Daphnia pulex: one gene and its partners. The protein of the gene in region 1 interacts with the protein of each later gene in a pairwise test. Links are inferred from orthologs where the notes say so. Each region holds a gene or a part of one and is shown on either strand. Other genes may lie near its edges.

Evidence for each region. The genes of interacting proteins can lie anywhere in the genome.
Region 2: the proteins of rac GTPase-activating protein 1-like (region 1) and anillin-like interact in a two-hybrid assay, tested with the Drosophila melanogaster proteins (2 studies listed by BioGRID). The link is inferred for Daphnia pulex from reciprocal best matches to the Drosophila melanogaster genes tum and scra.
Region 3: the proteins of rac GTPase-activating protein 1-like (region 1) and kinesin-like protein KIF23 interact in a two-hybrid assay, tested with the Drosophila melanogaster proteins (3 studies listed by BioGRID). The link is inferred for Daphnia pulex from reciprocal best matches to the Drosophila melanogaster genes tum and pav.

The regions. Positions count from the first base shown.
Region 1 is NC_060028.1:9,420,429-9,424,710, forward strand, and holds the start of rac GTPase-activating protein 1-like, read right to left. Parts: upstream 2,803-4,282; 5' UTR 2,658-2,802; intron 2,335-2,657; 5' UTR 2,321-2,334; coding exon 2,236-2,320; intron 2,177-2,235; coding exon 1,974-2,176; intron 1,902-1,973; coding exon 1,575-1,901; intron 1,504-1,574; coding exon 1,299-1,503; intron 1,222-1,298; coding exon 1,002-1,221; intron 924-1,001; coding exon 650-923; intron 574-649; coding exon 323-573; intron 256-322; coding exon 123-255; intron 55-122; coding exon 1-54.
Region 2 is NC_060019.1:5,226,212-5,230,449, reverse strand, and holds the start of anillin-like, read left to right. Parts: upstream 1-1,431; 5' UTR 1,432-1,619; intron 1,620-1,693; 5' UTR 1,694-1,696; coding exon 1,697-1,714; intron 1,715-1,814; coding exon 1,815-2,013; intron 2,014-2,146; coding exon 2,147-2,394; intron 2,395-2,461; coding exon 2,462-2,557; intron 2,558-2,656; coding exon 2,657-3,284; intron 3,285-3,345; coding exon 3,346-3,775; intron 3,776-3,857; coding exon 3,858-4,026; intron 4,027-4,099; coding exon 4,100-4,238. UniProt on the Drosophila melanogaster protein: Required for cytokinesis. Essential for the structural integrity of the cleavage furrow and for completion of cleavage furrow ingression and proper formation of the midbody.
Region 3 is NC_060023.1:8,671,708-8,675,686, reverse strand, and holds the start of kinesin-like protein KIF23, read left to right. Parts: upstream 1-1,172; 5' UTR 1,173-1,350; coding exon 1,351-1,361; intron 1,362-1,490; coding exon 1,491-1,716; intron 1,717-1,794; coding exon 1,795-2,028; intron 2,029-2,087; coding exon 2,088-2,197; intron 2,198-2,258; coding exon 2,259-2,477; intron 2,478-2,531; coding exon 2,532-2,703; intron 2,704-2,768; coding exon 2,769-3,002; intron 3,003-3,067; coding exon 3,068-3,319; intron 3,320-3,380; coding exon 3,381-3,521; intron 3,522-3,587; coding exon 3,588-3,829; intron 3,830-3,892; coding exon 3,893-3,979. Other genes in the region: anaphase-promoting complex subunit 2-like, read left to right, coding at 1-155, 225-641, 708-1,007.

The sequences.
Region 1 (4,282 bases):
GTCCACGTAGCGAGCCCAATAATCACTCGGGATGAGCAAGAGCCTCTCCATGGTCTGTAATTGCATAACGACACAAGTATTAGCCCTGCAAATCTGAGATAGGGAAAGGAAAAACTTTTTACCAAGTGCTGTTTCTTAAGCTGCTTGAGCGCCATTTCTGGAAGCGGATCTGGACACGAGTAACCAATTATGGTCGGGCCAAAGATCCTGGCCAAATTGGTAATTGGCATCTTGCATACCTCAGCTTCTGCGACGCTGTTCAAACAAAATCGCAACAATTAAGTTGATGCCAACACAACTTTCAATCCCGCACAAGTTTTACCGTTGAAGGTGAAGAATGACGTATGCTAGAGTGTCTCGATTAGGTTGCGGAAGATCGGGAACGAGCGAGTACACAGTGGTCTGAATATCCATTTCATCGGCAAGTTCGGCGATCCGAACGAAACTGTCCCACAGCGTGTAGGTAATGAGTGGCTCTTTCAGCGAGCGGAAAAACAGCTTCAACGTGCCAGTGACAACGTGAATATCAATTTGAGACAAAGTCGGCTGGCCTTTGCCACGCAAGAGGCGCTCCTGAAATTGAATAAATCAAAGGGCTGTCATTTGGGACTGATCAAATTTGGGGTTCGATTCCTAGTGATGAAATTACCTTCATGTCTTTAATTTCCTTTTCGGAACCGTTGACACGATAGATGCCAACCTCTGTCAATCCGCGGCGCTCAATTTCGTTGACGCAGTGAATGACAATGCCGGGGATCATAGGAGAGATGTTGGGAGCGTAATCAGCAACGGTTCCGACGAATCCCTTATTAGAGGGTGTTTGAACAGTCGGGACGCAAGGCATGGGCATGCGGGACTTGCAATCAACGTGACAAGTTCCTCTACATTCGACACACTTCAAGGCGGGCTTGCCAAATTTAATCCTGCGCAATAAGAGGTTTCACTAATTAAATTAAAGCCCAGCACGTTTCCCAACGCAAAGAAAATACAACACTCCTCACCTGTTGCCACAAGGGAGGCAGTTCTCTGGTTTGATGATGGTTTTCTGGCTGAAGGTGTGCTGGCGCTGATTGATTCGCCCACCAGAAGCCATAGTGCGCAAGTACGCAGTTCCGCCAAGCGTGTGGGTCGAGTGCGCTGAAGCCGACGGATTAGCACTCGGACGGCGGATGGCCACGGGAGTCTTGCCATCTGGAAGTTCCCAAGATGATTCGATCAAATCTAGTTTGTCAACAAACAATTAATTAGCTGTTGTTCCCATTGTTGTGGCCAGGCAATCAAGACAATTTATCTCTTACACTGCGGAGGAGCGTTCGGTAGGATTCCCGGTTCGCTAGAACTGCGCTTTCTTTGGTTTTTAGGTGTTGCATTGCTGATATCGTTTTCCCTGCCCATATCGGGATGGTTTTCAATAATAGATGTGGCTGTGATTGGACCTCCCTTGGATACAGTCACTGTCGTTGTGGCAACCACGCGTTCGTGACCGGACACTTCCATGATATTCTTTAAATGCAAACAAAGAAAAGAGAGTTGGTAACTAATGTCACAGAAACGAGGGAAACTTTGAACTGTACCTCGCGATTAGACGACGCCTTGTATCGTTTCGAGTTGTCGAGATTGTACATTCCTTCCGATGTCCTTTTACCTCGAGGTGCCCGACTGGAACGCATCACTGAGAGCTCGAGTTCTTCCTCTGTGCGTTCAGTGGTCAGGTCGAATGACGCCAAGAGCGAGCCGGTGCTGTTGAGCTCGTTGATTGTGTTTAATCGGTCACCAGGCGAATCGAAATTGCCACGCGAGTAGCGTCCTGTGTTGCTGAGCATCGCCAGCTTTTCACGTGTCTCATCTCGAATATCTTTCTCAGCTGACACGATTTCACGTACAACGTGCAATTGCTTTTCCTGTAAAACAAGTGCAGACGAGACATTGATGGTAAACATTAAAGAGTGATAATAATGTTGCAGATAACATACCAAAGACTTTTTCTCGTCAGACACTTGCTTTCTGACTTTGATCTCATTTTTCAGCAAAACAGTAGCATGGTGGTATTGCAGCTCTAATTTGCCATTCATTTTGTTGACTTCATTCAACTGATTGTGCAGACGTTTGAGCTCTGCTTCAGCTTCGAGCCATTTCTGGCGGCAAGCTTCCTGATTAACGGCAAACTTGAGGAATTCTAAAAAGAAGGAAAGTGTCAAATGCAATGATTGCCACACATTGTCTTGAGCAATTTACCTTTTTCAGAACTGTTGACAAAGTAATTGAAGCCTCTGCACAGGTCATCATACTGAGCCAACACAGATACCTGCTTGGCAGACATGGCTAGGGGAAAACCTAAATAAGAATCCATTAATGTCAATGCCACAACGGGGGACCAGTTTGAAGTTTGGCGAAACAACACATCAACAAATTTTTAATTATACAATTTTCAATAATTAAAACTAAAAATGTTTAAATATCTCAATAAGTTCAATCAAACCCTTAAATAAAATGTTTAAGACTCTTTCTAACTGTTGACAACCAGAAAATAAGACAGTTTGGAACACCACTACAATTGACACTTGTTTGGGTGTGATTTGAAAACCAAAGAAAAGTGACACACAAAATGCTTTAGAAAAAATTTTTAACAGCAAAAAAAAGTAAAAACGTTCACATACCAAAAATAAAACACTCTTAATGATGGAAGACAACAGAAATCCCCGTTGTAATTTGAAGCTTTCTTGTAAAACGGTTCACTTGTGGCTTACAGTTGGCATCCCGACGACGAGTATCGAGGGAAAACGCTTGGATTTTTGAAAATGTTCCGTTGAGGAAGGGTGCGGCGTTGCCGATTTTCCGTATACATGCTCGCCCCTCCCTTAAAATACCCCACCCCCTAGCCTAGTCCACCTGACAACTAGAGAGTAATGGAGCTTACAGCTTAAAGACGTTGGAAAAAAAGGGTGAAGATTTACGACAACAAAAATATACTGGATCGATATGTATAGCGATGGCTCCATATTTATTTTCAATTATTCATAAGAAATATTATTCTCCATGAATAACGATCACGAGTAAACATGACGTTTGCTGCCGCCGGGCATGGATGCGCGGCGGACATGCTCCCGTCTTTAAAAAAAACCCAGAAAAATCCCAAAATGTTGAATATGGAAATGTAAGCAATAAAAGTCAATCGCATTATGGAAATGGGGGATTTGGCAGATATTCCTTCATCCACCACGAGCGCTTTCCATCGTCCAATGAGCCATTAATCGCATTAAATCTACTTTTTCTCCCGTTTATGTCCACCATATTTCTTGACATTCTCGGAATTTCTTTTTTTTTCCCCAAGAAGATATTAGAGACTGCTCATCTGCGAAGCAAAAAAAATATACATAAAATAAACCCAGCAGAGAAACGGTTCTGTATATGCATGAAAGCGATAATGTAGTAGTACAGTAGGAGTCGAGCGAAAGTTTTGCGCGAGCTATATAGCCTCCTCCTCATCCATAACTCGAATAATCCATCATCCAAGACCATAGACACATATACTTTCTCTCTCTTTCTCCATTTCGTCGTCTTATATTCCATCCAGGGCTCTTTTCTCGTTTGAAGTTGGACCAAGCAACTCTACACTATATACTATATATCTCTGACACAGACTCGCCCGGGAGAGTTGGGTTTGGTTGCTGCTGCACACAGTATAGTAGTAGTACTATATACGGCATCAACTCTGAAAGGCGACAGATATTGCTGCCGTGCTGCATGCTTGATGTTGGATTTACACTGTCTACCCTAGACATCTACATTCAAAAGAGCGCATTCGCCTATATGCTGCTAGCTGGTTCAATATTTATTCTGAAGCTTTCAGTCTAGCTATCCTTTTTTATTTCGACTGACTTGATGGAAGTCGCACAGCATCGCACGACTCTTTTTTCTCTTTTTTCGTGTTGAACAAAAGTCATTCAAGAAAAGAATTGCTGCGAACCGCACTCGAAAGAGATCAACACCGCGACGACGGGTTTGAAATATTCAAAAATGATTTTTTGGAAGGAGACTCTCATTTCTCGGCGGGATATCGTGTTGCTGTGTATACACAGCGACTATAACGCCAAAGAGATACACAAGCGAGAGGGTTTTCAATATATGACATTCGAGTCTGGAAAAAAAGGAAGGAAAAGACACGTTGCATTGATGGGGTCACGATCGTCTACAAACCAAAGACGATCCGCATTGTTCTCAAATTGAAAAAGAACGATGGAAACATCATCGCCTGAGATTCTCCCATCCGATTGACGAGGGC
Region 2 (4,238 bases), on another chromosome or scaffold:
TTTTGCATGCTCAGCTTCCTATCTTCACTTTTTCGTCTGTGCGCAACATAGAGCATTTTAATTTCGAATAAGTGCATATCACAGTTCGGTGAAGTATATGGAATCTGGACGGAAGACCGCTTATTAAACACTTAGTTTTCTCAGAAACATTCATCCATATGTTCCCACAATACATAACTTGGGTATTTGTGATTTACTAATGTTTCACTGAAGAAAGATAGATGAGCCAAGAATAAGTCGATTGCTGGATCAGTACTTCATGTGCCGGGTTTTCTGATTCACCGGTAACTACTGTGCGCCTGATGTGTTTCTAATGTTGCTATTTGCCATGGTGATACAAGTTATACATCAAAACTTCTCTTTTCATTTTATCGTGTACTGTTACTGCAAAATAAGAATAAAATAAAAAGGGGAGAATTCTAATTTTATCCTTCAAAACAAAACAAAACATAAGAAATGCCTCGTGCAACGCCTGCAGACCCACTGGCCAAACACTAATAAGTCAACTAAATATGTCGTAATTTAATTTGTAAGTGGGGGTGGCGTATATCTACGTTTTAAAATCCTTCGTTGTTAATAGAAAAGTGAAAGAAAAGTAGAAAAAAGCTCGCAAATTGTTGCTTCCTTTTTTATTACCAAATCATGTTGCGTAATCACAGTTTACGTCTTCTTTAAATTCAAAAAATGATTGTACAACCACTTGCTCGATAAGAGTCAGTCATTGTTGCTATTATTTGAAAGCTGAAAATTTATGAAAATCTAAATTAAGTGATATATGGCTATATGCAGGCTGTGAGCCTGTAACCAAAATTGCCAACTTAAATATTTCCTAAATGGAAGTGAATTTCGTCATTCTGATTCTGATAAAAAAAATTTCGTCAAATCCGGCTTGAAATCGAAAGATGAATAACGTGAAAATTTTAGAATTCGAAATTTCTTTCCGGATTTAGTTGAAAGCTTCAAGCGGGGCTTAGTTATTGAGCGCATTGTCGCCTTGTCGGGTTAATTTAGCTCCATGTATATATAACACTAGTTTTAAGTTGTTGTCCAAGTTGCTGATATTAGCACGGCTTTATTCAGTGTCAGAAGATTAATCAATGACTCCATATTGATTTTCCGTTAATTTTTGAATATTTGAAATTTGGAAATTGACAGAAAAATTGCTACTCAGTGAAGCTTCTCTTTTTTTAAATTAACCATTTAATATATAAACTTTCATTGAAATTGTAGCTTTAAAAATTGTATTACTCAAATGATTAAAACAATTCTGCGTCAATTTACTACATTTTCTACCTCAGAATACAGAATCCACAAGAAAGCAGTAATTTAGTAAACAACCAAAGAATATCTAGGTTAGCCATTTGTAATAATAGGTTTTGTGTTGGCTAATGTCCTGTAGCGCCAACTAGTGGGTGTGTAACGTAAGTGTCAAATTTGAAATAGGACTGTTGGGACTTGGGACTTCAACGGTTCACAACGATAACGTACTCACAGTCGGTTCTTACATATTGCAGTCTAGTTTTGGTTTTTTAGCTGTTTAAAACTCACGCGAATCGTTAGGAGCACGATATTTCGACTATAGACTCGGTTACAAATATCACAAAAAACGTTGCAGTAAAGTAATAAGTACTCACTCAAGTCTCTTACTGGATACAATTTAATCACATGTTTGTCACATCTTCATTGTTTGAAGAAAATGGATTTATTTACTCAGGTCTGCATATTTTTTTGTTATGGTGCCATCAAAATATTTTCACTTTTGATTTCATTGATGTTGTGTTGTCATACTTACAAGTTGTATTAACATTTTTCAGAACATGATAAAAAGAACAAAGCAGAGGCAAGAGATGATGAAAGTGAAGCCCAACTCCGGGTTGGGCTCATTGTCATCTAGTAAACTAGAGAATCAAACCATTCCATCAAATTCAAGCCAAATTTCAGATATTGATGAAAACATACCATTGTGTAATTTCGAGGAAAAAAGAAATGTAATTCGAAAGGAAAATGATGCAGGTATTTATTTAAACAACTAATTTAATTGTGTGGGTTGAGGCAGAAACTATTTCACTGTGGTTCATTAACTATGCATCAAGTTCTAAAAAAAATGGAAAACTAAAGTATTTTGTTCCGTTATCTTCTTTAATAGGTATCAAACATTTAAGACACAGCCCTACAAAAATTGAGGTTCCAAGTGATCAAACTTCTCCATTACAAGTGTCAAGAAAAACTAGATTGGAAGCTCTAGCCTACCGGATAAATGATTGGGTAGATGAATCTGTTGTAGCTCCTAAACCAATTTCATCCACTCCTGAGAAAAATCCTAGAGGAACCAGTACTCCTTCTAAAATAAGAGATACAACTACTTTGAAGTCTGCAGCAAGTGTGAAATCAGTGGTAGGTTCTCATAATTATCTTTTCTTTTAATATTAAAACAAATTTACTTCTATTGTCCACCTCACAGTTACAAGAATGCACTCCTGTGAAAGTATCTGGAAATGAGGATGTATCAACTCCTTACAAATCACTTGCGTTAGATAAATCGGTTCTCCAAAGCTTGGTATGAACAGCGAAGATTGATCTTCATCTTAATAGACTTTAATTGTATTTGTGTTATCCTTTCTATTCTACTTTGTTTGTTAAAAAAAATTATGAATAGGAATCCCAAGGTTTCACACCAACTGAATCACGGTCTCGTTTAATATACGAGTTTGAGAAAGAGCAAGAAAACGAAATAGAAGAAGAAACAGCCAAGTCTTGGACGTTTACTGCCGGATCGCCGCATAAATCAGCATCTCCCTTGAAAACCAGATCACCTGCTGGTGTTACACATTCAAGCAATACTCCAGCAAAGCCAAAGGGACCAGCAAGTCAGTTGGCTGGAAAATTTTCTAAGAGACCATCAGGTGGTCTAATATCATCAGATATGAAATCAGCCAGAATTTCTCAGAATATACGAGAGAATCACGAGTCTACCCCTTCGTCATCGAGCGCTGTGGAACTAGAAAAAAAGAAGCCTGAAAATAGAATGCGTTCTGTGCAGGAGTTGGCTGCTCAATTCGATTCGCCTCGCGTGCCAATGAAAGATCCAGCTGAAATGACAATTTCGGAAAGGAAGGCACTCTTTGAACACAACAAAGGCCAAATTTCTAATTCTAAACTACGAACACCACAAACAAGTCGTTCTGTTATTTCGCCACGGACGACAGCCATCGATTCGAAGAATAAAGGAAATCTCGATTTTTATATGAAAGAGAAATCTAATTCTCCACTCTCGGTTGTGTCTGGTAAAAGAAGTTCACTTTCTTTCGCGTATTTTGTCTAACACTTCCTTTGTTGTATTTTCAGAGCTTTCAAGCGTACAAACTGCTAAATCAAACCACTTTAAGGAGCAGCAGAACCCAAGGGGTGGCAATATCACTAAAATGTCGGAACCGCTGACCCATGGAGCAGCAACTTCAAGTCCTATCTCTAACTGCACGCCGAAGCCGAATATTATGAATACCGTTGCTTCGTCTTCCAAGGAATATAATTTAGATCAACCATCGAGTGGCATGTTTCGCAATATTCATGCCGAACCATCGCTTGACAAAAATATCGAAGAACAGCAAAAACCTTCCGGGGCGCTGTACGCAGGAATTCATCAAGTTCGTCCCATAAGAGTATCCCCTCCTAAACCGGGTAAACTCTATCCGTGTTTGTCAGATATTGACAGCGTAACAGAAAACGAATCAGAGTCAGATGAACAACAAACGGACAATACTCCAAAAAGCACAGAGTATGTATACACAGTTAATTAGTTACATCCAATTCAATATTTCAAAAATATTTGTCTAATTTGTAAATTGTAATTTTATCAGTGGTGGCGATTTGAGAGCAGGTTACGATTTGGATAGTAGCTTCACTATTGAAATTCTTGGGCGAGCAGGTTTGAGTCAATTCATCAATACTCCCAAGAGGAAACTGACAGAAATGCAACTGGATAAACCACAGGTGCGCCCTAATCTTGGTGTGAAAGAAATCATTTCGGTAAACAAAATTTAAAAGAATCATAGCAAAATTTGTTGATACCCGGTTAACCATTGAATCAAAATTGAAATAGGATGATGATGACTCAACGGATATCAGTGACCTACTAGATGAAGCATTGGGTGATACTGAACATTCCGTGTCTCCCAAACATCAGAAAAGGGATGATTGCGATCAATTAACATTGGAAGATGATGGCCTTGCCATTTCAT
Region 3 (3,979 bases), on another chromosome or scaffold:
TTCATTTTGACACAGAAGAAGAGATTCGTAATTTAGAATTTCTCAAAATTCGATTTGGAGAAAACGAATTGCACAATTGCGAAGTGATGCTCAAGGACGTGGCAGACTCCAAGAGAATCAACACCCACCTACAGTCGGTCGTGCACAAACCTGAAGTACGTTTTTAATTCGTTTAGCGCATCGATAAATAAAAGTTAATTTTTTTTCTATTTATTTCCATCCAGTTTCCGATTTCGGCTATGATTATATCAGCTCAGTATTGGGACCAGCTGAAGGACAAACCGATGAAGTTGCCGATCAAAATCATCAACCAGCTCGAACAATATAATCAAAACTATAAAACGGTGAAAACGAGTCGTTCTCTGCATTGGGTACCTCAGTCGGGTTCTGTGGAACTGGAACTGGAGTTTGATAATCACCGTTGCGTGTCTTTCACCGTCCCGCCCGATTTGGCTGCCATCATATCTCATTTTGAAGACAAGGATCAATGGGATTTGGAAGAGCTTAGCCAGGAAATGGAATTACCAATGTCTCATCTTCGAAGGCGAGTTCACGTGTGGCAAACACACGGGGTCCTCCAGGAAATTTCTACTGATCGCTTCAAAGTGGATGAAAATGGACCAAATTTCACAGGACATAAGGTATATCTTAAAAAGTTATTACCGTTTCTCAAATGTATGTATTTTGCAATTACGTCCTTTTCGTAGATTCTTTTAGAAACGCTAGCGAAAATGGAGGAAGAAGAAGAAGATGACGACGAGGAAGATAGTGAGAAAAAAACGGAAGAAGATGGTTTGCAAGTTTATTGGTCGTACGTTGTTGGCATGCTGACAAATCTCGAAGCCCTTCCAGTTGAGCGTATTCACCAGATGCTTAAAATGTTTACAATGCAAGGCTCTAGTGGGGCAGAGTGCACTCTGCAACAGTTGAAAAATTTCCTTGATTCAAAAGTTAAGCAACAGTTGTTGTCTTTCTCCTCTGGAATGTATAGACTCCCCAAACCATGAACTAATTTTTTTAATGATAATTTAAAAATGTGTATTCATTACAATAAATTTTCTGAAGTGATTACCTCTGTAATGAAATAAAAAGTTGTTAAAATACGTTTAATATTTGTATTCGAATTTTCAAATTTCAATGTCATAAATAAGTCAGGTTACTGGCAACGCTGTATTTCGAATTCACACCTGGCGATTTGGCGATGCTGCACTCAGTTTGAATGAAACGACAATCGACAACGGCCAAAAAGTTTGCCCACTGCACAGACAAATCGGTTTACATTTTGAAATCCCTCATTCGTTTTAAATATTTGACAGGGGTTCATAAGTACTGAACCGAATAGGCTCGAAAATGAAACCATCGTAAGTTTTCTACAAACCGTATTAGTGTGTGATTTGTGTTTCGTGCTCTCTTCATGTCCGATTATGCTCTTTTTTTCACTATGCTTTGTATACGAAAGAAGTTAAGAATATGTTTTATGTTGATCTTAGGCGATTGAAGATTGCACCTAAGGTGCCAACCAAACCACCAATTACCCCAGCACGGTCCAAACAAGCATTGATGACTTCCAGAGATCGGGATCCTGTGCAAGTGTATTGCAGAATCAGACCTCTTGATGTCCCCTCTGATGATTCGTGTGTAACTGTTTTAAGTGACACTGTAGTTCAAGTTGTACCTCCAGAAACTTCTCAAGGTTACAGAAGTGGAACGACAAAAGTAAGTTGACACTTTATTTCCCAGCAATTTATTTTTGAAAGTACTTTCAGTATTTTAATCTTGCTTTCTTTTTGATAGGCAACACAATATACATTCACTGGTGTGTTTGACGAGAAGACCACACAGAAACCTATTTTCCACACTGTGACTTTACCGCTAATAGAAGACTTGCTTCATGGAAAGAATAGCTTGCTATTTGCCTATGGAGTCACAGGATCAGGAAAAACACACACAATGAATGGTGAGCTGCAGGATGGTGGCATTATCCCTCGTTGTTTGGATGTTATTTTTAACAGCATTGGTCACTACCAGGTATTTCAAAAATAAAAATGTCGCAATACAGTTGTACTAACTAATCTTCAATCTACCAGGCTAAAAAGTATATCTTCAAACCAGATAAAATGAACAGTTTTGAAATCCAAAGTGAAATTGATGCATTATCAGAAAGGCAATCTGAAGCTCAAACTTCAAACAAGTTCAAGTAAGAATACCAAATTCTTAAAAATTTTTGAAACAATCTAATTATAATTGCGATACTTTAGGACACCTGCACGCAGAGGACAAGAGAACGAAGGGCCGCGCGTAACGGATGCTACACGGATTTCAGCATTAGATGAAGACCAGGCTTATTCAGTTTTTGTAACGTTTGTTGAAGTTTACAACAATACAGTCTTCGATCTGTTGGACGATACTCCTATCGATCCTCTTCGACCTGGCAAGATACAATCAAAAATCTTACGAGAAGACCAACATCACAATATGTAAGTGAACAGTTCACTTGTTAAGGTGAGCTGCTTTAACCTATTTATTTGCAGGTATGTTCATGCTGTGACTGAAGTTGAAGTTAAGTCGGCCGATGAAGCTGCTGAAGTTCTTGCCAAGGGACAAAAGCGACGCCGTGTTGCTCACACTACTCTCAACGCAGAGTCGAGTAGAAGCCACTCCGTATTTAACATCCGCGTTGTTCAGGCTCCGCTTGATTACCAGGTATCATCGATCGATCACTAAGTCTGCGATTTTAATTAAAAAACTAATCAATTGTTAATTTTAAGGGTGCCATTCCAGAGAAGGTGCTAACTGTAGGACAGCTCTCATTAGTTGATCTTGCTGGTTCAGAAAGAAACAGTCGAACTAAAACCACTGGCGAACGTTTGCGTGAAGCTGGTAGCATCAACAACACCTTGATGACGCTTCGATCTTGCTTGGAAATTCTGCGCGAAAACCAATTGAATGGCACTAATAAAATGGTGCCCTACCGTGATTCTAAAATCACACATCTTTTCAAGGTAAGCGTCCTGTCAAGTTCATAATGTATCTAATATTACTAAATGCTAAAATGTTTTGTAAACAGAGTTACTTTGACGGCGAAGGAAAGGTTAGAATGATTGTTTGCGTGAACCCGCGTGCGGATGATTACGACGAAACTCTTTCCGTGATGCGTTTTGCTGAAATGGCTCAAGAAGTGCAAATCGCTCGTGCCGTACAGCCCAATATTCGCTTGGAAGCTACTCCTCGAGCAACGCCAGCTGGAAGAGACGCCCTTCTCCCAGGCCGCAGAAAGGCCAATCGTGTTCTAACCGAGGCATATCGCAAACTGGAACAGGTTTTTATTCCATCAATGCGAGTTTATTAGTCTCATATTTAACTTCAATGTGATTTTGCAGGGTGGAATTTCGAACCCCCAATCAGAAGTGCCGTTTGACATTGATATGGTTTTCAGTGCGGCTCGCTGTTCGTGGCCTCCTCTGGAATTACAATCAGCATCGGATGATCGACTTATAACGGCCTTGGTTGAGTATCTGCAGGTAGTTGTTTTATATTTCAGCATAAATTTGCGAATGCTATACACGTGTGTAATTCCTTTCTCAAAGGTGCGAATCCGTGATCAACAGAGTCGCCGGGAGCAGCAAATGAAGAAATGTGTCGAAGTCCGAACTCTTATTCGTGAAATGGAAGAGGAGCTCATTTTGAAACGTCAAGAGAACTTGAGTTTGAACGAGCAATTAAAAGATGAGCGTTCGCGTTGTCAAACATTTGAAAACCGTGTCCTCAATGCGGAATCGGCTAACGCTACCTTACAGCGCCATGTACTCGAGCATCAAAAATACGCCAGGTAAATATTCCCAGATAAAAACGGCTATTCACCAGTTTTTAATTTTCGTCTTTCTCATTTAAGGTTGTTGGAAGAAGAGTTGAAGGAGAAAGATTGCCTTCTTAATCAGGGTGAGATGGAAATCCAACACGTAAAAGCCAAGGAGAAGAC